Yarrowia lipolytica: one gene and its partners. Each later gene encodes a partner of the first gene's protein in a complex. Links are inferred from orthologs where the notes say so. Each region holds a gene or a part of one and is shown in the gene's direction. Other genes may lie near its edges.

Region 1 (5,485 bases):
GGTTCGCGGGGGAGCCACCGAGAACTTTCGGTAGGGGCCCTGAGCAAACTCGTTAACGGAAGCAACCACAAGCACCTTTTCCACGCCTCCAGATGCAAGAAGAGACAGGTTTTTGGCCTCGTAAGTAGCCAGAGCTCGCACGTCGTGGGCATTGTAGCCCCGCACGTTGGTCTGGTTCCATCGCTTGCCCACAGACTCGTAGCAGGCGATGGTCTTGTCGACACCCGCCGAAAAGACAGCGTCTCCGGCTGCATCGACTGCCAGACAGAGAATGTCGGCTTCGTGGGTCTTGAACGACTGGTTCAGAGCAAAGTGCGTGCAGTCCCAGAACTTGACCGAGCCCGTGGAGTCGCCGGAAACGATCAGATCGCCCTTGGCTCGCTTCACAACCGCCACGGTCCACACCAGAGTAGCGTCGTCCTGTGCCACAGGTCCCTTGGCAGTGTCGACCTTCATGGTGGCAATGGTGGATCCGTCTTCGTCCCAGACCCGGATCCGCGCGTCCGAACAGCCGCCCACCACCTGCGAGCCTCTCCATGCCAAACTGAGCACTCGACAGGTGTGTCTCTGAAGGACTCGCGAATGCTCCATCACACCAGGGCCTCCAGACAGATCCACCACCACCACGGAGCCGTTTTCGCAGCCTGCAGCCAGCTTGGTTCCGTCGTCGCTCACGGCAATGCACCAGATCACACCGCTGTGGCAGTCGTAGTTGACTCTGGGCTGGCCCGTGGACACGTTCCACTCGGTGATAGCGGTCGATCCTCCGATGGAAAACAGCCGCGGCTTGCCAGAAGAGTCGCCCGAGTCAGACCACGCCAGCCCCTCGACAGACCGGCCCTTTCCTCCCCGCAAAGTCGTCTCATGGAGCCAGTTCCATCGGGGGTTCCAAATTTCGATATCTCCATTATCTCGTCCCACAGCCAGTCTCAGGTCCGGCGAGGCGTTCTGGTCCAGCTCGGAGCGTCGGCTGAACGCCAGCGCCGTGATTCCGGCCGGATTGTAGTCCACAAAACGGCATCTATGAACGTCCATTGTGTTGTGTGCTGTTTTTGTGATATGTTGCACTCTCACAATTTTTTGGCTTACCTATATGCATATGCAGATTTTTTTTTATTTAGGCTTTGTCATGTGACTAATGGGTGATAGAAGCACCTACAAGTAGCGGACTATGTAGAGCCTGTATAACAAGAAAGAGGGCTTGAAGAGATTGCTAAAGACTGAAATGCTATGACAGTGGTTTCATTTTTGGTTTTGGCCACGTTTTACGTGTTTTGGAATTATCTCGACGAATAGTGGACGTAATAGAAATCTGAAAGAACCATGATATGGAGCGGAAAAAGACCAACAAGATGCATTTTTCAGAGTTGTTTTATCTAACCAGCAACACCATATTTTGTATAGCAAAGTGTGGTCTGGCGATGTTAAGTGTAGAGTCAATGGTGTTCAGAAGATGACTTGAATGGAGATTGATACTGGGCGTAATAAGTTTGATTTTATAATAATATCGTAAATTGACCGTTGCAACAACTTGCACTCTTGGATTTGTCTATATATATTCTCTAGTCTGTCTTGTAGATGTGTTCTGTTCTGCTTAAAGTAATTCTCAACAAACATTTATACTAAGCCAAGTAACACGTAACAAACTATTATACCAAGTCAAGTAATATGTAACAAACTATTACACCAAGTCAAGTAAAAGAAAACGGGGGTTCCATGCCCCCAAACGGACGAATATCACGTGAAAAAAAAAAAAAACCAAAAAAAACCAATCGTCAAATACATCTATACCACTTTGATAACCCCAAATGTCCTCTTTTCCTCCACTTTTCCACTCTCTGAATCACATGTCCCAAGCTGGAATCGAACCCCGCACAATATACAAAGTTTTCCCCCGGGTGGTTACCGTGGCAACGGCCTTTGTTGACGCGTTCAAACATCCCTTTGTCGCATCACTATACACCTGCCAGTTACATCAAACCACCACTCAGCATGACGACGGCCAAAAAAACACATGTCGGGGTCAAAGCCAACAACCGCAACGAGGCCAAGCTGTACTCGCTACTGGGGCAGTATTTCCAGGAGGCGCAGCGGTCGCTAGTGGCGCAGAGAAAGATCATTGTGTCCATGCAACAACTACACGAGGGAGCAGTTCAGTGGAACATGGAAGAGCAGTTCACGCGCAAGTTTCTGCTGCTGGTGAACCGCATGCTCACGTGCAAGAAGGGCGACAAGTCGGCCGACAAGGTGGTCGAGTTCATCGGCTCGTATGTGGGACGTCTTCAGGAGGAAGAGGAAGACCGGGATGAAGATGAAGATGATGAGGAGGAAGAGAGCACAGTGGCGTCTCGTTTCTGCGAGGCACTCATTCGTCACGTGCTCCGAGGAACCCAGGCCAAAGATAGACATGTGCGGTTCCGATGCTGCCACATTCTGTCTACCGTCATCAACTCTCTTAGTGACATTGACGACGACCTTTTTGAAGACCTGCGAGACTCCATGTTTGCGCGGTCGTACGACAAGGACGCCAGCACACGGCTAAAGGCCGTGTTGGCTCTGTGCCGAATCCAATCTTCTGCTGAGGAAGGAGAGGAGGAGTCCGCGGAGGAGAAACAGCTACAGGAGCTGCTACTGAGCTTGATCCAGAACGATCCCTCGGCCGACGTGCGCCGGGCTATCCTGTTCAACCTCAAGGTGACCAAGAAGACCCTTCCCTATCTTCTTGAACGTGCACGTGATACCAATTCCATCACGCGACGGTCGGTGTATGGACGGACCATGAAGAGCATTGGTGATTTCCGAATGCTGCGGATCGGCATGCGAGAGAAGTTGCTCCAATGGGGTCTCAAGGACCGAGACACGAGTGTGGAACAGGCAGCCACAAAGATGCTTGTCACCCAATGGCTCGAAACCTGTGACGGTAGCGTCCTGGAGCTTCTGCAGCGTCTCGATGTGCTCAATTCGACTGTAGCTGAGACTGCCGTCGAGATTATATTTGACCAGAAGCCCCAAATGGTTTCCAACCTCTCGTTCAAAGATTCGTGGGACACCTTGACACCAGAAACGGCCTTCCTGGCGCGTGTATACGCCCAATACTGTCTCAAGAAGGGCTACGACGATCTAGTGGACGCCCAGGTGCCAGAAGTTACAAAGATTGCTTTCTTTATTGAGCGCGATCTCCAAAATCTGACCGTGGACGAAGAGGGATACTCCGAGCGGGAGTTTGTGCTTGAGCAGCTTTTGCTTCTGGCGCAGCAGCTGGATTTTGGTGATGAAATCGGACGACGAAAGATTGTGGACGTGCTCACCAATGCGCTGACTAATAAAGATCTCTCTGATACTCTTGTGTCTGCGGTTGTCAACGTGTTCCACAAACTGTGCACCCGAGAGCGAGACTTCATCCAGGTGCTGGTTGAAATCGTGGTGGATATCGAAGACATTGCACGTGAGTCTGAAGACCCAGACAGAGTGCTTTGTACCACTTTGCGGTGTCTGGCTATCACACAGACGGTGCTTGAGCAGGTGGAGACGTCTCTGGAGTCGAATGTCGAGCTGAGCGGTCTACTAGATTCTTTGGTTCTTCCCTCAGTTCGCTCTCATGTGATTACAATCCGTGAACGGGGTCTACGATGCCTGGGTCTTCTTTCTCTGTTATCTCGTGAACAAGCGTCGGACAATCTCATGGTTTTCGGACACTGTGTTCACAAGGGCGAGGCTGAGTTCAAGGTTGAAGCTCTTAAGATCATGTCTGATATTTTGGTTCTTCATGGTCGTTCAGTTCTCGATCTTCCCGATAAAGTGGACTCTGAGAGTGTGCACAAGCTGTACTACCAGGCGTTGAAGAACGCCGACATCCCCGAGTTACAGGCTGTTGCCGCCGAAGGACTGTTCAAGCTGCTTCTCTGTGGCGTCTTTTCCAACCCCGATCTTCTGGCGGGTATCCTTCTCAACTACTTTGACCCACAGAGTGCTTCCAACGGTGCTCTGAAGCAGGTTTTGTCTTTCTGCATTCCTGTGTACGCCTACTCACGTGACGAGAATCAGCAGGTGCTTGGATCGGTGGCTATTCCTGCTATCGATAGAATTCTGCGTCACCTGGAGGATATTGAAGATGATCCTCTTACCGGTGCCACAGAGATGATGCAGCAGGTTTTGGACTGGACGGATCCGCGACGTGTGGTGTCGATTACTAACCAGTCGTCCACAGAAACTACGTCACGTGTCCACTACGATCTGGCGTTCGATATCTTGTCGTATCTGAGTGAGTGCCGGGAGCGAGCCGAGCACAGGGCGTACACGTCTGCGTTGACCAAGCTGTATTTCCCCGGCTTGACGGCTGAGGAGCTGACCAAGCTGAAGGAGGCTGTTGTTCGGTGTCACGAGGCCATCGAGGGTATTGACAATGTGTCCTTGAACGCATTTAATCGGTTTGTGGCGTCAGTGGAGAACATGGAGCCTGTGGGAGTTGTGGATGGCGTTGCAGAGAAGGAGGCAGAGGAGGATGATGAGAAGGTAGCTGAAGAAGGGGAGAACGCGGAGGCTGATACCACTGTTCTAAGACATACTGTTCCCGAGGATGAGGATGCACTTGAGGCCCCCGAGTACCCTGAAGATGAGACTAGTGGAGACACTAGCTTGAGGGGTTCTGTTGGAGGTCGGGTGTCTATTGGGGGCCGGGTTTCTCTTGGACTCAGTCCTCTCGGCCGGGGCTCTATGAGCAGCAGTCCTCTTGGCCGAGGTTCGGCTGGCCGAGCTTCTGTTGGAGGAAGTCCAATTGGACGGGCTTCTATTGGAAGTCATGCGGTTGGAAGTCCCATAGGACGACGCCAGAGTCGGCTGTCGACAGTTTCGGGCATCGATGACGAGGCTGAGGAGAGTGACGAAGATGAGAGAGAAGAGAGTGAGGAGAGTGACGAAGATGAGAGTGACGAAGATGAGAGTGACGAAGATGAGAGTGATGTTGAGATGGACATGTGAAGAGATGATAATGTATGTATTTTTAAATAATGAATGGGTGTTAAGGATATCTACTTGGTGATGTTGGAGTAGGGAGTTGATAGAGATGGATTTAGGAGTTGTCTGAAGGAGATACTGGTGCCGAGACTTGTATCACGATTTAACCAGCTACGTCATCTTTGGATAAAGTGTAGATAATATGACACATGAGCAATATTGTGCTCTTGCTGAACACGATGGTTGTTTCAGATTTGCGATGTCTTTTGGGGGAGTTTTTACATGAGTTGGAGACAGTTTTGGGGAGTTGGAGAGAAGTTTCGAGCAGTTTGGACAGTTTCGCAGACCAGTTTGGATATTTGGACAACTATCTGAATACTCTCACTGACACCAGGCCACCCGTGAACTTGTTGATCACCGGGGTGGTCCTAGAAAAGGAGCATGCAACCGGCCTAACCTACGATGTTTGGGTTTGTTTGACGAAAAGTTTCCAACTCGGCCGATATGGCCTGGAAATGGCTGGAATACGTCA
Region 2 (4,741 bases), on another chromosome or scaffold:
AGAGAAGCATGAGGGCAGAGCTCAATGTGGGTCTTCATGGGCGAGAGCTGAGCCTTGGCTAGAGACAGGAGGAATACGGCTGAGGGCTCGTTGACGAGCTGCTTGATTTCGTTCTCAAACGTGAACATGGTGCTGGAGGCCAAAGGTTCGTCCAGCAGCTCGGCAAGGTGGGATCTGGAGACCTTGGCGTTCCAGGTGGGCGAGCTTACCATGGTAGTACAGCTAGAGGCCGAGCCGGTGAGAGAAGAAGACCCAACGCTGGAGAAGCTGGTGTGGGTCTTGAGAGTGAAAATAGGTGAATGATCAAAAACGTCTGGGCTCAGAGCAATCTTCTCGAGGTCGAGAGGAGCAGTAGGGGTCCGGGTAGGGGCCAGGCCGGCAGGAGCAGCGTCCACGGGGGTCACTGGCTTGACAGCAGGCATAGTGAGCCGCTGGAGAAAGCCGGAGAGAACCGGAACAGAAAGATGGTCAATGATAGTCTGGTTCTCCTGGGTGGAGCGAGCCAGGTGGAGGCCAATGGGGATGAGGGAGGCGAGATGACGGAGACTGTCGACGAACTCGGCCAGGGTGGGAAGGTCGTCGTGAATGTCCTGGAGCGCGACCGGATCCACTGCGGAGGCAAGAAGAAGGCGGAGCTTGAAGGATCTCAGCGGAAGCATACACACCACATTGTCTGGGCACTGGGCCAGCAGCACAAGCGTGGGTAGGAACTGCATCTGGAGTCGTGGGATGAGGTGGGTGTGGGATTATGTGTCTGTGTCTGTGGCAGAGATGTGACTGACCAAGACTGAGTCACAATGTGTGATAGAAGCACCGTAACGCTGTTTCTGTGGGCCACTAGGTCGATGTAGTGGGCGTGAGAAGAAAGGATGTGTGTCTGTGCTAGTCTGAGTAAGAATGCTGAGAAACAAGTCTGTGTGTGTTTGTGTCTGTATCTGAGTCTGTGTCTGCAATATCGGCTATACAGACAGGTCAAGAAGAGGCCAAGTGTGCGTGTGTGCGTGTGTGTGTGAATCCAGAGCTGACTAGATAAAGGAGAAGGAACCGGAAGAAGGGGGTTTATATGTGAAGACACACAGTCATTCCCTCTATTATACGCGGCGAGTGGGTGGAGAGGTCAACTCTATCTTGTCACTCTGTTTGAGTGGTGGAGTGCACTTTCAGGGCTCTTGATCTAGAGGGCGCTCGCGTAGAATCATAACATGATGGGTATCATTGGAAAGCCATTCTCGACAGGTCGTCACACATGGTAGGAATGACCGCATCGACAGCCATAAAACGTCGCATTTTGGAGATATCCAGTTCGCCGACCATCTCTTTTCACCTTGCCTTTGCATATCCCGATTCAGTCTCCCCAGTTCCAATATCTCAAGGCTGTGCGTTTTTCCTCTTTATTGAACGTTTTTCCTCTTTGCTGAATGCCCAATGTGGCACAACTGGACTAGCCCTAGTCACATTGTCAATTGGGGAACAAGCCGAAATTCTCATTGCCCCACCTTTCTCTCAACCGCTTTTGGTATCACGAAATTTCATAGTCCTTGGGCTACGCGGTTCCTTCTATCCATCACCACTGATGAACTGTGAAGCGAGTCCCGACGACCCAGACCACTCCCATATTGACCTCCAAACTCAATCTCCAGAACCGCGTGCGTACATCCAACTGGGGTAACAGGCGGCGCTATTGATGGGTCAGCCACTGAACGATGGGTTAAATGTACCGGTACAGGTTAGGGCATTGGAATGTATGCGGTGGTTCAAGGCGATTCGAACTGTCTAGAATATGGCCTTCGAACAGCTGGTAATACACTTGTAGTCGTGCTTGTATTACTACCTACGCCATCAGATTTCGCACCGCCCCCAAATACGGAAGCTTCGGGTTAGGGTTATTTTACGCGGTTGCCAGGACAACGGCACACAACAACGCGTGAAGGCTATTTTGTAAATATACAGAATATACAGAAACCTCTTTACACTTTTCGATCCGTCAACACGACTAACTAAACATTCAGATAAACGAAAATGGCAAGACCAGCTCGACGACGGTCTTCCGGACGGTTTCTCCAACAGGGCGAATCCGAGCCTTCTCTGCAAAAACTGGTCCATATGAACGACGACGCTGCCGAGAAGCAGAAGCGACGACAGTCCAAGCGTCTCAGTATTCTTCCTGGAGCTGTTTCGCTCGGTTCTCCTGGCGCCAATGCTGGTGAGGACGTTGACGAGGGCCTTAGAGATCATCTGAACAATGCTGCTCCCCAAGTTCCCATCATGGCCAACTTTGAGGAGTGGATGAAGATGGTGAACGACAACAAGATCAATGCGCAGAATTCGTGGAATTTCGCGCTCATTGACTACTTTCATGACATGTCGCTGCTTAAGGAGGGCGACGGAATCAACTTCCAACGTGCTTCCGTCACTCTGGACGGTTGTATGAAGATTTACTCGTCTCGTATTGACTCCGCAGCCACCGAGACTGGTCGATTGTTGACTGGACTGGCTACTAAGCAAGGACGAGAGGATATCGGTAATGAAGACGACGAGGAGGAAGGGCAGGAGGGTGAGGAAGGGGAGGGAGGAGAGAAGAAGAAAAAAACCGTTCGTCCTCGAGGAGTTACTCTGGCTAAGAGCTTTGAGGAGAATGCTGCTAAGAAGCTTGAGCTCGAACTCTCTATCGATCCTCTTTTCAAGAAGATGTGTGCCGATTTCGATGAGGGAGGCGCCAAGGGCATGCTGATGAACTCTCTGGGCATCGACAAGAATGGTCGCGTGGTTTTCGATGGAGATTTCGACCAGGAGATTAGTAAGGGAGATTTTGCCGACCTTAGCGAAGACGAAGACATGGAGGATGATAGTGCCGACAGCTTTTCTCTGCAGCAGCTGGGGGCGAAGTTTTTCCCCGACCTGTCTATTCTGGCAACAAAGTCCGTCTGTCCTTCTGCAGCTATGATCGAGGCTGCTCTCAAGGACCCTAGTAATCTTCCCGAGGGTCTGCAAGTCGACAATCTCGATGACCGACCTTCCATGCCAGAGCTCGACTACGGAGGAGACGAAGACATTCTGGACGATGCCGCTCTTGGAGATATTGGTTTTGACGACCTTGGAGCAGGAGGCGATGACGATGGACCTGGAGGTCCCGTGGAGGATTTCGAGTTTGGATACAACCCCATGAACGAGCAGTATGCCGAGATTGCTCAGGATGTGGCTATTCCAGGCGGGGTGGGTCCCTCTGACCCTCGATACAAGCCCACCATTAACGAGGCTGATCTTCTGGCGTACTTTGATCACACCTTGAAGAAGAACTGGGCCGGCCCTGAGCACTGGAAGGTCCAAAAGCTGCGGGGAGATATTCAGAAGAAGGCCATTGAAAGCAGAGATAATGTTGGAGAAGATGGAGAGGAAGGAGAAGAAGGCGAGAAGGCTGACAAGACAAAGAAGAAGGCCGCTCCTGTCGAAGTTGACTTCATTTCCGAAGATAACGATATTGACGAGGCTGTGCTGTTTGGTCGACCAGCACACATGTCTACTCTGTCGCTCACCAAGGCCCAGCAGCGATCTGATACCAACAACCTGCTCCCTAACGACGAGCACTTCTCCACCGACAATCTTGTCAAGCTGTTCATCAAGCCCGGCAAGCGAATCACCGGTCTACTGTTCAAGCATCGAGTCACTCTCCAGAGCGAAAAGGACGCCGACCAACATTTCTGGGCTCAGCATTTCAACGAGGAGCTGGCAGAATACGGTGTTCAGGGCCCTGAACCTGAACCTGTTGATATACCTGGCCAGAACGACGATGGAGATGATTTCGGCGGCTATGACGACTTTGACGACTATGGAGGAGCTACAGATATGGGTGGGCCTCACAATGCGTCGTTCCTGGGCCTGCCCAAGGCTCATCCAGAGTACGTTTCGTACGCCAAGGTGGCCAAGCGAGTGGATGTTCGTAAATTGAAGGACAACCTTTGGAGAGTCATGGATTATGAAAAGGTGGACGAGTTGGTGGACAATGGCGACATGGTTGAGGATGCAGCAAAGGTGGAGGAGAAGAGATTCACCCAGCTCGTGGAGCAGGTGGGAGCCGAGTACCCCCGACAACAGAAGCAGGAGATCTCCACCTCGTTTGTGTTCATCTGTCTGTTGCATCTGGCTAACGAGAAGGGTCTCAGTATCGACCAGCAGGATGATTTGGCCGACTTGGCCATCAGCAAGGATATGAATGTTCGCCTGGATCAGCTGGGAGCATAATGGGACTGAGACAGCAGTTGTGTAATTTATTGATCGTATATAATAATGAGTGTACAATATGATGAGTGATGAGAGCGTTTGTAGAGTGAAGGGCGGTAAACCGTTTTGGCAAGGGGTTGGGTGATCTTGGAGTTTTGTCTGTAAGTTCCATATGATGCCATGAAAAGCAAAAACACATCTATATAATATCCTCGAGTGACCTATTTCATCGTGTAAACCACATCTTCTACCTAATTATCAATAATATACATTTTCCCCGATTTTATTTGATTTTTTTTGTGAGCGTATCCAAATGTCGGGATGTTTTATTCTATTTAATATTCTATTTTAGATTCTATTTTTAGTTCTGGTCACGTGATCAAAATTTTCGAGTGTGATGGGAACGATTTCTAAAATTTCAACAAAATGCCTGGCTAGCTCAATCGGTAGAGCGTGAGACTCTTATTCCAAGGTCATCTCAAGGCTGTGGGTTCAAGCCCCACGTCGGGCTCTCTTTTTTGGG
Region 3 (7,576 bases), on another chromosome or scaffold:
CTGAGACACCAAGACGTATCAGGACACACTCAGCCAATGGTTCTTCAGCTTGGAGTGCTGAGACCAGTACTTGCACGACTTGCCTTAGAACTGCTTGTTGCAACATGGTACTTGTACTTGTACACGTAGTCGAGCTTGTAGCGTACAGTACTCGTACACGTAGTCGAGCTTGTAGCGTACAGTACTCGTACACGTAGTCGAGCTCGTACCGTACTCATACCCTGCCTCTGCTCCACTCGCACCGCCAACTGCTCCATCACTCATACCTACATAGCTACCCCGAACCGTTACCATGGAGACTGGCGATCCCAATATACCCTGACGGTCCACATTCCACGCTAAACCAAACTGGATTCCTATTATTCTCACTGTACAAAGTCACATGACGGTGGATGGATGACAAGGACGTCGGATGTACGTGCTGTAGAGATAACAGCCTGGATTCATCTCGGGTGCAGAATTGCTGTGCCAAGCGGTCTGCCAGGTGGGTTCTTTGCGTGGTATTATTTCCTTGTCCAAGAGTTGTTATTGTTGTGCTTGCTAGATGTATGGTGCATATCAAGTGCTGAGAGTGTATCGGAGAGTCGAATTCAGGAGACCGAGTACAGTACAAGTACAAGTACAGGTACGAGCACAACAACATGCCAATGGTTAACGGCTGCGTTCCGGACTCACTTTTCTTTTCCAACGACCTCAGCCGTTCACGCTAATCCCACGCTTAACGCTGAGTTTGGAGCATCGTGGGCGTGCCAGTGGCTTAATAAGCAGATAAACGAGGGGATGTAACGGTAGAAGGCTCAATGCGGCGGCTCCGACTGTTTTTATGACTCGGTGTTTTGTGGATTTCGTCATCTTAGCAAAGATCCCTAGTACGATTACATAATCAACAGGAGCACACTACTTAATGATGGTACTGTAGACAGTGGACGCGATTCATCTGAATATAACCGGAGCTGGTTTGACAACGATCCATATCAACGACCCATATCGATGGATGCGCACGCACAAACAGAACATCCATACATCTCGCGACAAGAGCACCAGAACACCTCAGTTTGCCAATCCCGCAGCGTACGCTACAACTTCTCGTGCATTAGCGAGCTTCCGAGCAGATGTAAGAGTAATACTCGAGATAATATGTCAGTTACAATTGTACTAACCAACACATCCACTTTTACTGTGAATGTTCGACAAGCCAACTCTCATCTTGTGCTTCCTACAGTAATCAACCATACATTTTCAAAGTAGGACTCAATAGACAGTTTCCAGCCACAGGATTTCTTGATGTCAGACTTGCGACCATACCACTATCAAATTCCGATCCAATTCCCATACTCGTACTAATGAACACATCTGGAAACGTTTTCCAAACCCCCCAATCTCCTCCACAGTCGACCCCATAACTGTCACTATCAGATCCAGCCGCACTGCTTGTACATACGGTACCTCGTGAACTGTTTGTACAAGTACAAGCCGCTGAAACACGAAAAAAACCTATAAATACCACCAAAAGCAACTCTTCATCCATTCACCGTTCTTGCTCCATTTTTCCCATACTTGAACTCGTAGTCGTACGTAATCGCACCCATTCCTACTCTCCCACATTTGACACACTGTGAAGACCCCACTCTTCCAGTCGAAAAAAATATACAGCAAAAAAAGTACAGTATTGACCCTTGTGGGACGACCCTGAAACTGTAGTAAACCAGAGGTATATCACACTTGTAGTAATACTTGTAGTAATACTTCTGCAAACCACGTGACCAAAACATTCACTTCGTACACCCATCCACCGACACCAAGCATGCTTCCCCCTCCACCAGCTCGTGTTGCCAGGACAACCAGGGTTAGGGTTTCACTTCCTGTCTCGGACGCGTATTGTATATTGGGTAAACAGAGGTTGACGCGTCTGTCAGAAAAGTACATCTACAATCTTTCCACCACATCGACACACATTTCCACATTCAAATGGCCCGACTCAGCAGTGCGCCTTCCAAGCGGTACTCGGCCTCGCACCGCAGCTCGATCTCGCGCGTGGAGATTGAGCAGCAGTTTTCAGAGGAGGATTCGGATGATTTGGCGGTGGCCACCAAGAAGAACTTGAAACGGTCTTCTCGACCCAGAGCACACAAGGTGGTTGAGAGTGAAGACGAGAGTGAAGGGGAGGAGGAGGAGGGAGAGGAAGAGGAAGGAAGTGATACCGCAAACGCCAACAACACAAACATTACCCATGATTCTGCAGATGTATCTATTGATCATGATGAGGATGAGGATGAGGATGAGGATGAGGATGAGGAGGAAGAGTCAGAAGACGAATTGGTGGCTTCCAAAACCGCCAAGCGAGTTATTGAAGACGAGGAGGAAGAGCAGGAGGACATTGACATGGAGGGCGATATGAGCGTGGATCATGAGGGTGACATTAACATTGCTATGGGTGATGAGAATGTGGGTGGGGGTGATATTGAAGGTGAAGTGGCAGCCATGGAGTCGTCACCCGTGAAGAGAAGCCCTCTTGCAACCCGTACATCCATCTCGGCCAACAATGCCTCTCCTAACACCTCCAACATTGTGTCCAATCCCAGCCCCAGTCAAAAGGAAAACGTCATTGTAAAGAAACGTGACATGACACCTGATATGGACACCAACGCCGCTACAGAAGATGCCACCACGCCAAACACGCCCTCCAGAGCTCCTCCCTCGTCCATGCCTGTTCCTTCCCCCATGCAGGCCAATCTGACTATTGATGATGGAGCCCCCGATGGCCTGCCTCTCCCCAGGGCATCCGAAGAGCCCGACGAGGTCAAACAGGAGGAGCAGCTGAGCCACGGCATCCATGCGCGGTCGCTCATGCAGCAGCGCGCCACGTCCATGCAGCAGCATGTGATCAAGACACCCGACGAGCCCACTCAGCGGCTGACCATTAGCAACTTGGTCCTTACAAACTTCAAATCCTATGCCGGACGACAGGAAGTTGGTCCTTTCCACAGTGTGAGTATAGTGGAGCAAGCTGAGCGATCCGAAGGATTGCCTGGCTTTTTTTGTGGTCACTTGGTTTAAATGACTGGACTCGGGTGCTTATTGGTTTCAAGTGTCTACTTTATTCAATAGCAACTTGCGTTTCATGATTTCAAGTGCTATTTCGATCTCAAAAGCCTTTTATTAACATGGCTTCGCATGCTTGTCCCGAACCGCCATGCTGAACCACAATGTGGTCCGTCCTGAAAGCCATACTAACCCAGTCATTCTCCGCCGTAGTTGGCCCCAACGGTTCCGGCAAGTCCAACGTGATCGACTCGCTTCTCTTCGTGTTCGGTTTCCGAGCTTCCAAAATGCGACAAGGCAAATTGTCCGCTCTCATTCACAACTCTTCCAACCACCCCAATCTCACGTTTTGTTCCGTCGAAGTCCACTTTCAGGACGTGATCGACGAGCTGGACGGTACCACCTCTGTGGTACCAGACTCGACGTTGGTTGTGGCGCGAAAGGCCTACAGCAACAACACGTCTGTGTACACAATCAATGGTCGAACGTCATCCTTCACTGAGGTGACCACACTATTAAAGGGCCGAGGAATCGATCTGGACCACAAACGGTTCCTCATTCTGCAGGGAGAAGTCGAAAGTATTGCCCAGATGAAGGCGAAGGCTGAGGGCGACCACGACGACGGCTTACTGGAGTACCTGGAGGACATTATTGGTACGTCGCAATACAAGACGCCAATCGACGAGGCACAAGTTCAGATCGACTCGCTCAATGAGGTGTGTTTGGAAAAGAAGGGTCGTATGGAAATTGTGGAGAAGGAACTGAACGGTCTGTCATCCGAACGTGACGAGATTGTCGGCTACTTGCGTCTCCAGAACGAGCTGACTCACAAGCAGTCTCTGTACTTCCAGATTCATGCTCAAAAGTGCCAGAAGGTGATCACTATGAGCGAGCAGGTTATGGCTGAGATTGAGACGCAGTTGGCGGCAGAGGAGGAGAGAAATGCCGCTAACAGAGTCGAAATCAAGACTCTAGAGGACGGCGTCAAGTCCGAGGAATCTGTGCTTAAGGGTCTGAAGAAGGCCCAGTCCAAGCTGGCCTCTATTCTGGCCTCTCACGAGAAAGAAAAAGTGCAACTGGAGGAGCGCAAGAAGCACATGGAGGCTAAGGCGAAGAAGTTAGAGAAGACAATTGCTTCAGCTGAGTTGTCGCTATCCTCTTCTGAGTCCTGGATCGAGGAGTACGACAACGAGAACTCCGGCAACATTGAGCAGCTCAAGGTATACGGCGAAGAACTTGCCGAGGCCGAGGCTCTCATGGTTGAGATTCAACGGGATCTGGGAGACAAAACACGCCCTTTCTCCGAGAAGATTGACCTGCTCAAGCAAAAACTCGATCCCTGGAAGCAGAAGATTGTTGCCAAAGAGGGAGAGGTCAAGTCTGCGCTCAACAAGGTCGAGCTCGAGGAGGAGCGACTTTCCCGGGCTGAGAAAGCTGTCAAGGACTCCGAGGCGTCTATTCAGGGCATCAAGCTGGAGGGAAGGAGTCTGGAGAAGAAGGTGGCTCACTCGGAGAAGGAGAAGGAGCACGTTCAGAACCAGATTGAGCTAGGAGAGCAGGAATGCGAGCACGCCAAGGGAAAGCTAGCAGACATGAAGCAGCGCCTGGACGACATGCGTGCTCAGTACAACGACGCCAAGGAGTCGCAATCATCTTTGCAGTCTCGTGGACGGGTTGTAGGTGCTCTGATGAAGCTCAAGGACTCTGGACGACTCCCTGGCATTCATGGCCGGCTTGGAGATCTCGGTACGATTGATGCAGAGTATGATACTGCCGTATCTGTGGCGTGTCCCAAGCTCGACAACATTGTGGTTGACACGATTCAGACAGGTCAAGCCTGCGTGGAGTATCTGCGAAAGAACAATCTAGGTACAGGTGTGTTTCAGCTAATGGACAAAATTGGCAATCGACGTCCCAAGAACTTTAACACTCCAGAAGGTGTTCCTCGGCTAATCGATCTAGTGAAATGCGACCCCCAGTTCATTCCAGTCTTTTATGCAGCCATGGGTGAGACTCTGGTTGCGAAAGATCTGGACCAGGCAAACAGAATTGCCTATTCGGGTGGCCGGTACCGAGTCGTGACTCTGCAGGGCCAGCTTATCGCGCGAAGTGGAACCATGGCTGGCGGAGGACATGTCAAGCGGGTTGGTCTGATGGCAATCACCGGTTCAGAGCGATCTACCGCCAAGGCTCTTTCGGCAGATGAAATGCGAGCTCTGGAGAACGAGATGGAGAACGAGGAGAAGCGGTATGGCGTGGCCAATACCACCTATCACCAGATGGTAGCTTCTTTGCGGGACTTGAAGGAGCGGCTTCCTCAGGTCGAGGTCGAGATTTCCAAGGTGGGTCTTGAGATTGAAGCACTCGCTCAAAACTACAAGTCTTCCGACCGACAACATAAGGAGCTGCTTGTGGAGTTGGAGGGTGTGCAGAAGAGTTCTGTACTTGCAGAGGCACGTGATCATGTTGCCACTCTTGAGGCAGAGGTTGAGGAACTTAAGTCACAGTGTTCTTCAATTGACGAGGAAATTGCATCTCTCGAGGAGAAGATTATGGAGACTGGTGGTCTCAAGCTGCGAATGCAAAAGTCCAAGGTCGACGGACTGGTTCAGAAGATTGAGATTGTGCAGGGCAAGATGAAGACCGGTAACAAGGACCGGTCCAAGGCCCAGCACAATGTTACTAAGCAACAGCGGGTCATTTCCGAGTCGCAGAAGGAGCTGCAGTCATTCCAGGAGGAGTGCGCTCCTTTCCAGTCCAAATTTGATGCTCTGGAGCAAAAGGTGGCTGAGTGTGAGACCGAGTCCGAGGAGGCCACCAAGGCCATGTACGAGCAGGAGGAGCGGGTATCTGCGCTACGAAATGAGCTCCAGGAAAAACAGGCAGAGATTTCGGAGCTGCGAAAGGCAGAAGTCGAGCTAAAAAACTCGCTGCTGCAACACAAGACCAAGGTTGAGGAGGAGGGAGCCAAGAAGGCACAGTGGGTCAAGCGACTGCAAGGCTTGGCTATTCACAACATTGGCGAAATGTGTGGCCAGCCAGATGAGCCAGAAGAGACGTCCACGCCTCTCGTGGAGTACTCTGAGGACGAGCTCCAGGGTTACAGTGTCTCCGAGCTCAAGGAAGAGATTGTCGGTTTGGAAAACTCGGTCGAGGGCATCGACATCGACTTTGCCATTCTTGAGGAATATGCTCGACGGGCACGCGACTACGAGACTCGTCGTTCTGCGCTCAATGAGGCTGTGGAGGAGCGAGAGCAGTCGTCCAAGCGACTGGAGGATCTCAAGTCCAAACGACTGTCTGAGTTCATGTCTGGTTTCAACACCATCTCCATGAAGCTGAAGGAGATGTACCAGATGATCACCATGGGCGGCAATGCCGAGCTGGAGCTTGTGGACTCTCTGGATCCTTTCTCCGAGGGTATTCTCTTCTCGGTCATGCCTCCCAAGAAGTCGTGGCGTAACATCTCTAACCTTTCCGGCGGAGAAAAGACGCTGTCTTCTCTGGCTCTCGTCTTTGCACTCCATCATTACAAGCCTACGCCTCTGTACGTGATGGACGAGATTGATGCTGCTCTGGACTTCCGAAACGTGTCCATCGTGGCCAACTACATCAAGGAGCGTACCAAGAACGCCCAGTTCATTGTCATTTCGCTGCGAAACAACATGTTCGAGCTAGCTCAGCGGTTGGTTGGTATCTTCAAGGTCAACAACATGACCAAGAGTGTCACCATCAAGAACGTGGAGGCCGTGGAGGCTGCTGCCGCAGCGGCAGCAGCAGCGAAGATCCCTCCCATGACACCAGGTCCCGGAGGACGTGGAGTTCCAATGACTCCGGGGCTGCACAGGACGCCAGGAACTCTACACAGAACTCCCGGGCACCTGAGAGCTCCACCCCCGAAGTTTGGAGCTGGAATGGGTGTTTCTTCGACGCCTCGAGTTCCCCAGACTCCCCGAGTGCCTCACAAGGCTACTCAGGCGGGATTCGTTGAGGGATAGTGTATGAATATTTATGATAATTAATGGATGTATATTAGTGAACAGTGGAGAGAACGGTGGGGGAGTTAGTGATGTATATGATGGTGTAGGTCTATATGAAGGCGAATTGCTTGAACAAGTTAGGGTATTAGAACGGTAACACGATGTTACTACGGTACGGTACGATACGATGTGCTCTTACACGACGTCATTAACAACCACTGTTGGTACAACTGGTGATTGTGATATTACAGACTCACAATTCCAAGTACTCACTCTATACCATGTGTCTATAAGTACAGCACATATTCTACTATAGCTACCGAAAAGCATCGTATGTATGTTGATGGTCACAATGTTGAGCCATTCTGTATACCACGGGTTACTATTTGTAGCGTGTATGACACTGGTTGTAAATCACGTATATGACGATCTTGCTCCAAGTGCCAAGTACATACTCGCACGGGAAAGTTCCATATAACCGAGTATGTGAAACAGTCTTGCTGGACCTGTTTCTTTCTTTGTGAGACAGAAGGAGGAAGATCAAGTGAATGACG
Region 4 (5,625 bases), about 2.0 Mb from region 1:
ACTACGATGATTGGGTCGAATTTGGAACGCGCAAGAATAAGCGTAAGGCCCCTACTCAGCAGGAGCTGCTTTCCCAGATTGTTGCCAGCAGAAACACGATTCCCACACTGTCTCTATCGAGCCAGGCTCCTTCGCAGCGAGCATCTTTGGCTCCGTCCAGCTCCCATCGCTCGTCGCTAGCTCGTGTTGCCTCTCAGGACACGAGAAGACAATCTGCTGGCCCCTCCGGTTCACAGGGCGGGTCTCAGAAGCGTTCCAAGCGAAGAAAGACTCTTGGAGGTTTCCGCTAGTATCTGTTTACTGTTCCTGTTTACTTGTATAATTATTGCATTTCAAAAATGGAGCGACGAGATAAGTAATCGTAGCTACTTAAAATGAGATTGAGACATGACTCGAGGACACGAATCCAAGTACAGTACGCATATTCTAAGGGTACGAGTTACAGTAAGTGTCGGTTCGTATCTGTTCAGGATCAACAAAAAATGGCGACGTCCGCAGGATTCGAACCTACGCGGGGAAACCCCAAGAGATTTCTAATCTCTCGCCTTAACCGCTCGGCCAGGATGCCTGAAAAATCTTCCGATTTTTGAAAACGTTAGGCAAACATTGTGCTTTCTGCTTAGTCACGAATCATTAGAAAAGAAAAAAAACGTTTGATTTTTGTAATTAGAATAAAAAAAAATGGCGTTCGATTTTGGTGTTAAGGAGTTTCTACGCCCTTGCTGTAGTTAGGAATGAATATCGGGCACTTACACGTGTAAAATGTACTGTATATTTCTTGTCACACACAATTGTGTAAGTACTTGTCGCGTGAGTTAGACATCCTATACAACTCCAAATCAAGATGTGGTAAACAAGCACAACATCCAACACCTGCCCACAGGCCCCTGGTTAAATAAAAATAAAAAGTAAAGAAGAAGCTCCACAGGGGCTCCAAAAACAACGCCCCATCGATCTTCATCGTCAAATGATTTTTTTCTTCTTCTCCTTTTCTGTTTTTTTTCCTCAAGCTTCAGGAGAACAGCTCTGAGCCCATCATACAGCAGTGATGCGATACTTTCCATGCCATTTAGTAAAGAACAATAGAACACACACTTGCCACTTGGTAAGACGTTCTGAAAATCAACTAGGAATTTTGTTTATTCTAGTGAAACACGGTTTTTTATTTTTATTCTAATGATTCATTACAGATTCATTACAGTACAGTAATCACGTGACCCGAACCACTTTTGGAATAAGAAACGGACCCGAATCTGGCACATTTCGGGCAACCTGGCCGAGCGGTCTAAGGCGCCAGGTTAAGGCTAACACCTTAACGAATATCCTGGTCTCTTCGGAGGCGAGAGTTCGAATCTCTCGGTTGTCATTTTTTGCTGCAATGGAACCGACTACTTGTAATGTGTAGCCATTGTTTTTGGTAACAGAACGCACCTATAATCAGTACTTCAACTACTTACGAGTAGCTTTCGCGGCGAATTAAAGTGTAACACTCAAAACTCTAACCGTTGCTGGGACAACAGGTCCCAAACACGAAACACGCTTAACGTTCTTTTTCTAAACCACACCTCTCAACACCTAAATGAAAGTCGAAGAGCTCGTAATCGACGGCTTCAAGTCGTACGCCACGCGTACAGTCATCTCCGGATGGGACCCGCAGTTCAACTGTATCACCGGTCTCAACGGTAGTGGCAAGTCCAACATTCTGGACGCCATTTGTTTCGTGCTAGGTATCACGACCATGGCTACTGTTCGAGCTCAGAACCTCCAGGATCTCATCTACAAGCGAGGACAGGCCGGTGTGACCAAGGCAAGTGTCACCATTGTTTTCGACAACTCAGATACCGCCACTAGTCCTATCGGGTTCGAGAAGTACGCCCAGATCTCGGTGACCCGTCAGATTGTGCTTGGAGGCACGAGCAAGTACCTGATCAACGGTCACCGAGCGCAGCAGCAGACGGTACAGCATTTGTTCCAATCGGTCCAGCTCAATATCAACAATCCCAACTTTCTGATCATGCAGGGTCGAATCACCAAAGTACTGAACATGAAGCCTGCCGAGGTGCTGGCTCTCATCGAGGAGGCCGCTGGAACTCGAATGTACGAGGATCGAAAGGAGAAGGCTCTCAAGACTATGGCGAAGAAGGATGCCCGGCGCCAGGAAAGTGCATTGCTTTTGGAGGAGGAAATTAAGCCCAAGTTGGATAAGCTGCGACAGGAAAAGAAGTCGTTCCTCGAGTACCAACACACCCAGTCCGACCTCGAGCGGGCTATCAAGCTCATTGTGGCACATGACTACATCATGTTGACCCAGGGTGCTCAGGAGATGACCGCCGCTATTGAAGCGATTGTTGCCGAGAAGGAAGCAAAGGCCCTAGCAGTGGAGCAGAACACACACGAGATGGGCGTGCTCGAGCAGGACATTGCCGAGGTCAAGGCTCGTCAGGCAGCCGAGGCGTCTAAAGATACGAATGTTTCTGTTCTTCAAAAGCAGGCCAAGGCTGCCTCCCATGAAGTGGTGCGTCTCAACACTACAATCGACCTGAAACGGTCCCAGCTTACCGAGGAAGAAGATTCACTAGCCAGTCTTGAGGCTACTGATCGAACCGAGGAGCTCCAGAAGCGCCAGGCCGAAGTTGACGCTAGCCAGAGAGAACTGGACGCTCAAACACAGCGTCTTGACTCCATGACCAAGGCTCTCGAGTCCAAGCGTGAACTGCTACAGTCGCTTCAGACCGGTATCGCATCTTCGGCCGGTAAGGAGTCTGGCTACCAGCGCCAACTTGCTGAGGCACGTGAACAGGCCAATGATTCTCGTGTGGCAATTGATCGTGCTCAGATGCGAATCTCACATCTGACAGAGGCTCTCAAAAGAGACGCTCCCAAGGTCGCCAAGGCTGAGAGCCAGAACCAGAGCGTGCTCGACAAGCTGGCTGGTCTGCGAGAAGCCAAAGGAGCTCTGGAAGCTGAAGTGGAGCGTCTTATGGCTGTTCCCGGAGCCGACGAGGACTGGACCGGAAAGGAGCGCGAGTGCATGTCGCGAATCGATGCTCTTTCTGCTCGAATTGACTCCGAGAAGCGTCAAGCGTCGTTCTCCGAGTTCACCTACGCTCGTCCTCATGCCAACTTCTCTGCTTCATCCGTCAAGGGTTTCGTGGCCGAACTGCTGACCATTGGAGATGAGAACATGGACAAGTGCATTGCTCTGCAGGTTGCTGCTGGAGGCAAGCTGTTCAACGTTGTTGTTGACAATGAGATCACCGGTAAGGAGCTGCTACAGCGGGGCCGACTCAAGCGACGAGTCACCATGATTCCTCTGAATAAAATTGCTGCCGAAGGTCTAATTTCTGCGGAGCGACTCGCCGTGGCCCAGCAGGTGGCCCCCGGCCGGGTTGGACGTGCCCTAGAGCTAGTTGGATACTCCGATGAGGTTGCTAAGGCCATGGCTTATGTTTTTGGCGGCACTCTTGTGTGTGTAGATACCGAGACCGCAAAGAAGTGTGCTTACCATCCCCAGATTCGTGCTCATTGTGTGACTCTGGAGGGAGATCACTACTCGCCTGAGGGTACCCTTTCTGGAGGCTCTCAGCAGCGAAGTGGAGATCTTCTCAAGAAGTTGACGAGCATCAACAACCTTACACAGGAGCTGGAGGAGGCTCGATACGATCTCAGCAACATCCAGAAGTCCATGGCTCAGTTTTCCAAAGTTATCTCTGAGCGACGACAGCTTGAAAACCAGCTTTCAATTCGGGAGCACGAGATCAAGACCGGCGAGAAGCAACTGGAGTCTTCTTCCAGTGCTTCTGTTCTGCGAAAGAAGCAGGAACAGGAGGCCGAGCTTCATGAGCTCCAGGAGTCCCTTCCCACGCTCAACCAGAAGCTTGAAGACGCCATTGCTCTGATTGGAACTATCGAGAGAGACATGGCTGACTTTGGAAAGAACAAGGGCAGTAAGCTTGAGGAGCTGGCTGCTTCTGTCGAAGAAATGGCTGCTGAAGTAGCTCAGCACCGGTCTGTTGTTGACGAGGCCTCAGCTGCCCATGAGGACATCCAGGTTTCTCTCGAGCAGTTTATGTCCGACATTACTGGTATGAAAGACGAGGCCGAGGCTTTAAAAGAGGCAATTCAGGCTACCCGAGGCGGCCTTGCTCAACTGGAGACTCAGCAGGACGAGGCCCGTGCTCTGGAGGCTTCTCTGACCCAGCAGGTTGAGGAGATGATGGCTGCTCTGCATGGCATGGACGAGGAGCGACGATCTTTGGAGGCTACTCTTCAACAGAAACGAGACTTCCATGCCGATGCTCTTGTCGCTGCAAAGGAGGCTGAGCATCTTCATACCCGTAAGATGAAGGAGCTGGAAGATGCTTCTAAGGGCGCCACTGCCATGGAGGCCAAGTACAACTGGGTCGCTGCTGACGCTCACCTGTTTGGCAAGCCCGGATCTCATTATGACTACGAGAGTGTGGACATCAAGCAGGTGCGACGGGCCGCTGGCCAGTTGGAGGAGCGAATCAAGGGTCTCGGACACAAGGTCAACGACAAGGTCATGAACATGATTGACAACGTTGAGAAGAAGGAAGCGACTCTACGAGGTATGATCAAGACCATCGAGAAGGACAAGGTCAAGATTGAGCAGACCATTGTGTCTTTGAACGAGTACAAATGCAAGGCTCTGACCAAGACGTGGAAGAAGGTGAGCGAGGACTTTGGTCAGATCTTCGCGACTCTGTTGCCTGGCTCCTTCGCCAAGCTGGTACTTCTGGAGGGCAAGGAGATTACCGAGGGTCTGGAAATCAAGGTCATGCTGGGTAAGATTTGGAAGGAGTCTCTGGCGGAGCTTTCTGGAGGTCAGCGATCTCTAGTTGCTCTGTCGTTGATTCTGGCTCTGCTCCAGTTCAAGCCTGCTCCTATGTACATTCTTGATGAGGTTGATGCTGCTTTGGATTTGAACCACACTCAGAACATTGGTCATCTGATCAAGACGCGATTCAAGGGCTCGCAGTTCATTGTTGTGTCGCTTAAAGAGGGATTCTTCAGCAACGCCAACCGAGTCTTCAAGGCTCGATTCCAGGAGGGCTCGTCGTCCGTCATTGCCATGTAGGATTTATGTGGGTTGTATTTTAATGTATTTATATGTATTCGAGTGTCTACCATGCTGTACAGTACATACACTCATATAAGTGCTAATGCTGAGCATCACGAATGAAAAATGATACAGGACCCAGTACCTACAGAGAGGCTGTACCATTAATTTCATTTTGATACATGAGACCTACAACGGAGTAGCGAACACTTATGTACGAAGATGTTATCTCGCAACACACCCAAAGCTCTAGACTCAATGCAATTGGAATTAGTCAGGTCTTAGTGTCTCACAGTCTACTTGGTTTCCTACTGGCTGGTGTGTGTCTCTTAGGTTTAACGGCGGTGAGGAAAGAGAAGCCAGACAAGAGTGAGACAGGAAGAAGTGTACAGTATATACTGTACATATTGTTGTTTGAAACGTGTATAAGAAACGTGTACTGGGACACGTGTAATTAGTAAATAGCCTTGAGACATGGTCCTGGTAGTTAGAGGCACATCACTGCTATGTGTGGCAACAGGCTCACTCCGGCAACTGGTGTTTAC

What was found.
Region 2: the proteins of YALI1_F12089g (region 1) and YALI1_B04937g are in contact, whole or in part, in a cryo-EM structure (PDB 6YVD), measured with the Saccharomyces cerevisiae proteins. The link is inferred for Yarrowia lipolytica from reciprocal best matches to the Saccharomyces cerevisiae genes YCG1 and BRN1. Residues at the interface, in NP_010612.2 of Saccharomyces cerevisiae: Gln215, Arg245, Asp246, Val247, Gln661, Glu741, Gln745, Phe749; in NP_009455.3 of Saccharomyces cerevisiae: His495, Tyr496, Leu497, Leu498, Asp500, Phe504, Phe513.
Region 3: YALI1_F12089g (region 1) and YALI1_C26408g share a complex: the UniProt entries of both Saccharomyces cerevisiae proteins name them as parts of the condensin complex. The link is inferred for Yarrowia lipolytica from reciprocal best matches to the Saccharomyces cerevisiae genes YCG1 and SMC4.
Region 4: YALI1_F12089g (region 1) and YALI1_F32167g share a complex: the UniProt entries of both Saccharomyces cerevisiae proteins name them as parts of the condensin complex. The link is inferred for Yarrowia lipolytica from reciprocal best matches to the Saccharomyces cerevisiae genes YCG1 and SMC2.

The regions. Positions count from the first base shown.
Region 1 is NC_090775.1:1,206,974-1,212,458, forward strand, and holds YALI1_F12089g (uncharacterized protein), read left to right. Parts: upstream 1-1,992; coding exon 1,993-4,977; downstream 4,978-5,485. Other genes in the region: YALI1_F12080g (uncharacterized protein), read right to left, coding at 1-1,035. UniProt on the Saccharomyces cerevisiae protein: Regulatory subunit of the condensin complex, a complex required for conversion of interphase chromatin into mitotic-like condense chromosomes.
Region 2 is NC_090771.1:491,001-495,741, reverse strand, and holds YALI1_B04937g (uncharacterized protein), read left to right. Parts: upstream 1-2,019; coding exon 2,020-4,239; downstream 4,240-4,741. Other genes in the region: YALI1_B04950g (uncharacterized protein), read right to left, coding at 1-716; YALI1_B04947g (uncharacterized protein), read left to right, coding at 870-987, 1,030-1,178. UniProt on the Saccharomyces cerevisiae protein: Regulatory subunit of the condensin complex, a complex required for conversion of interphase chromatin into mitotic-like condense chromosomes.
Region 3 is NC_090772.1:2,638,882-2,646,457, forward strand, and holds YALI1_C26408g (uncharacterized protein), read left to right. Parts: upstream 1-1,968; coding exon 1,969-2,988; intron 2,989-3,239; coding exon 3,240-7,040; downstream 7,041-7,576. UniProt on the Saccharomyces cerevisiae protein: Central component of the condensin complex, a complex required for conversion of interphase chromatin into mitotic-like condense chromosomes.
Region 4 is NC_090775.1:3,212,739-3,218,363, reverse strand, and holds YALI1_F32167g (uncharacterized protein), read left to right. Parts: upstream 1-1,579; coding exon 1,580-5,098; downstream 5,099-5,625. Other genes in the region: YALI1_F32204g (uncharacterized protein), read left to right, coding at 1-290. UniProt on the Saccharomyces cerevisiae protein: Central component of the condensin complex, a complex required for conversion of interphase chromatin into mitotic-like condense chromosomes.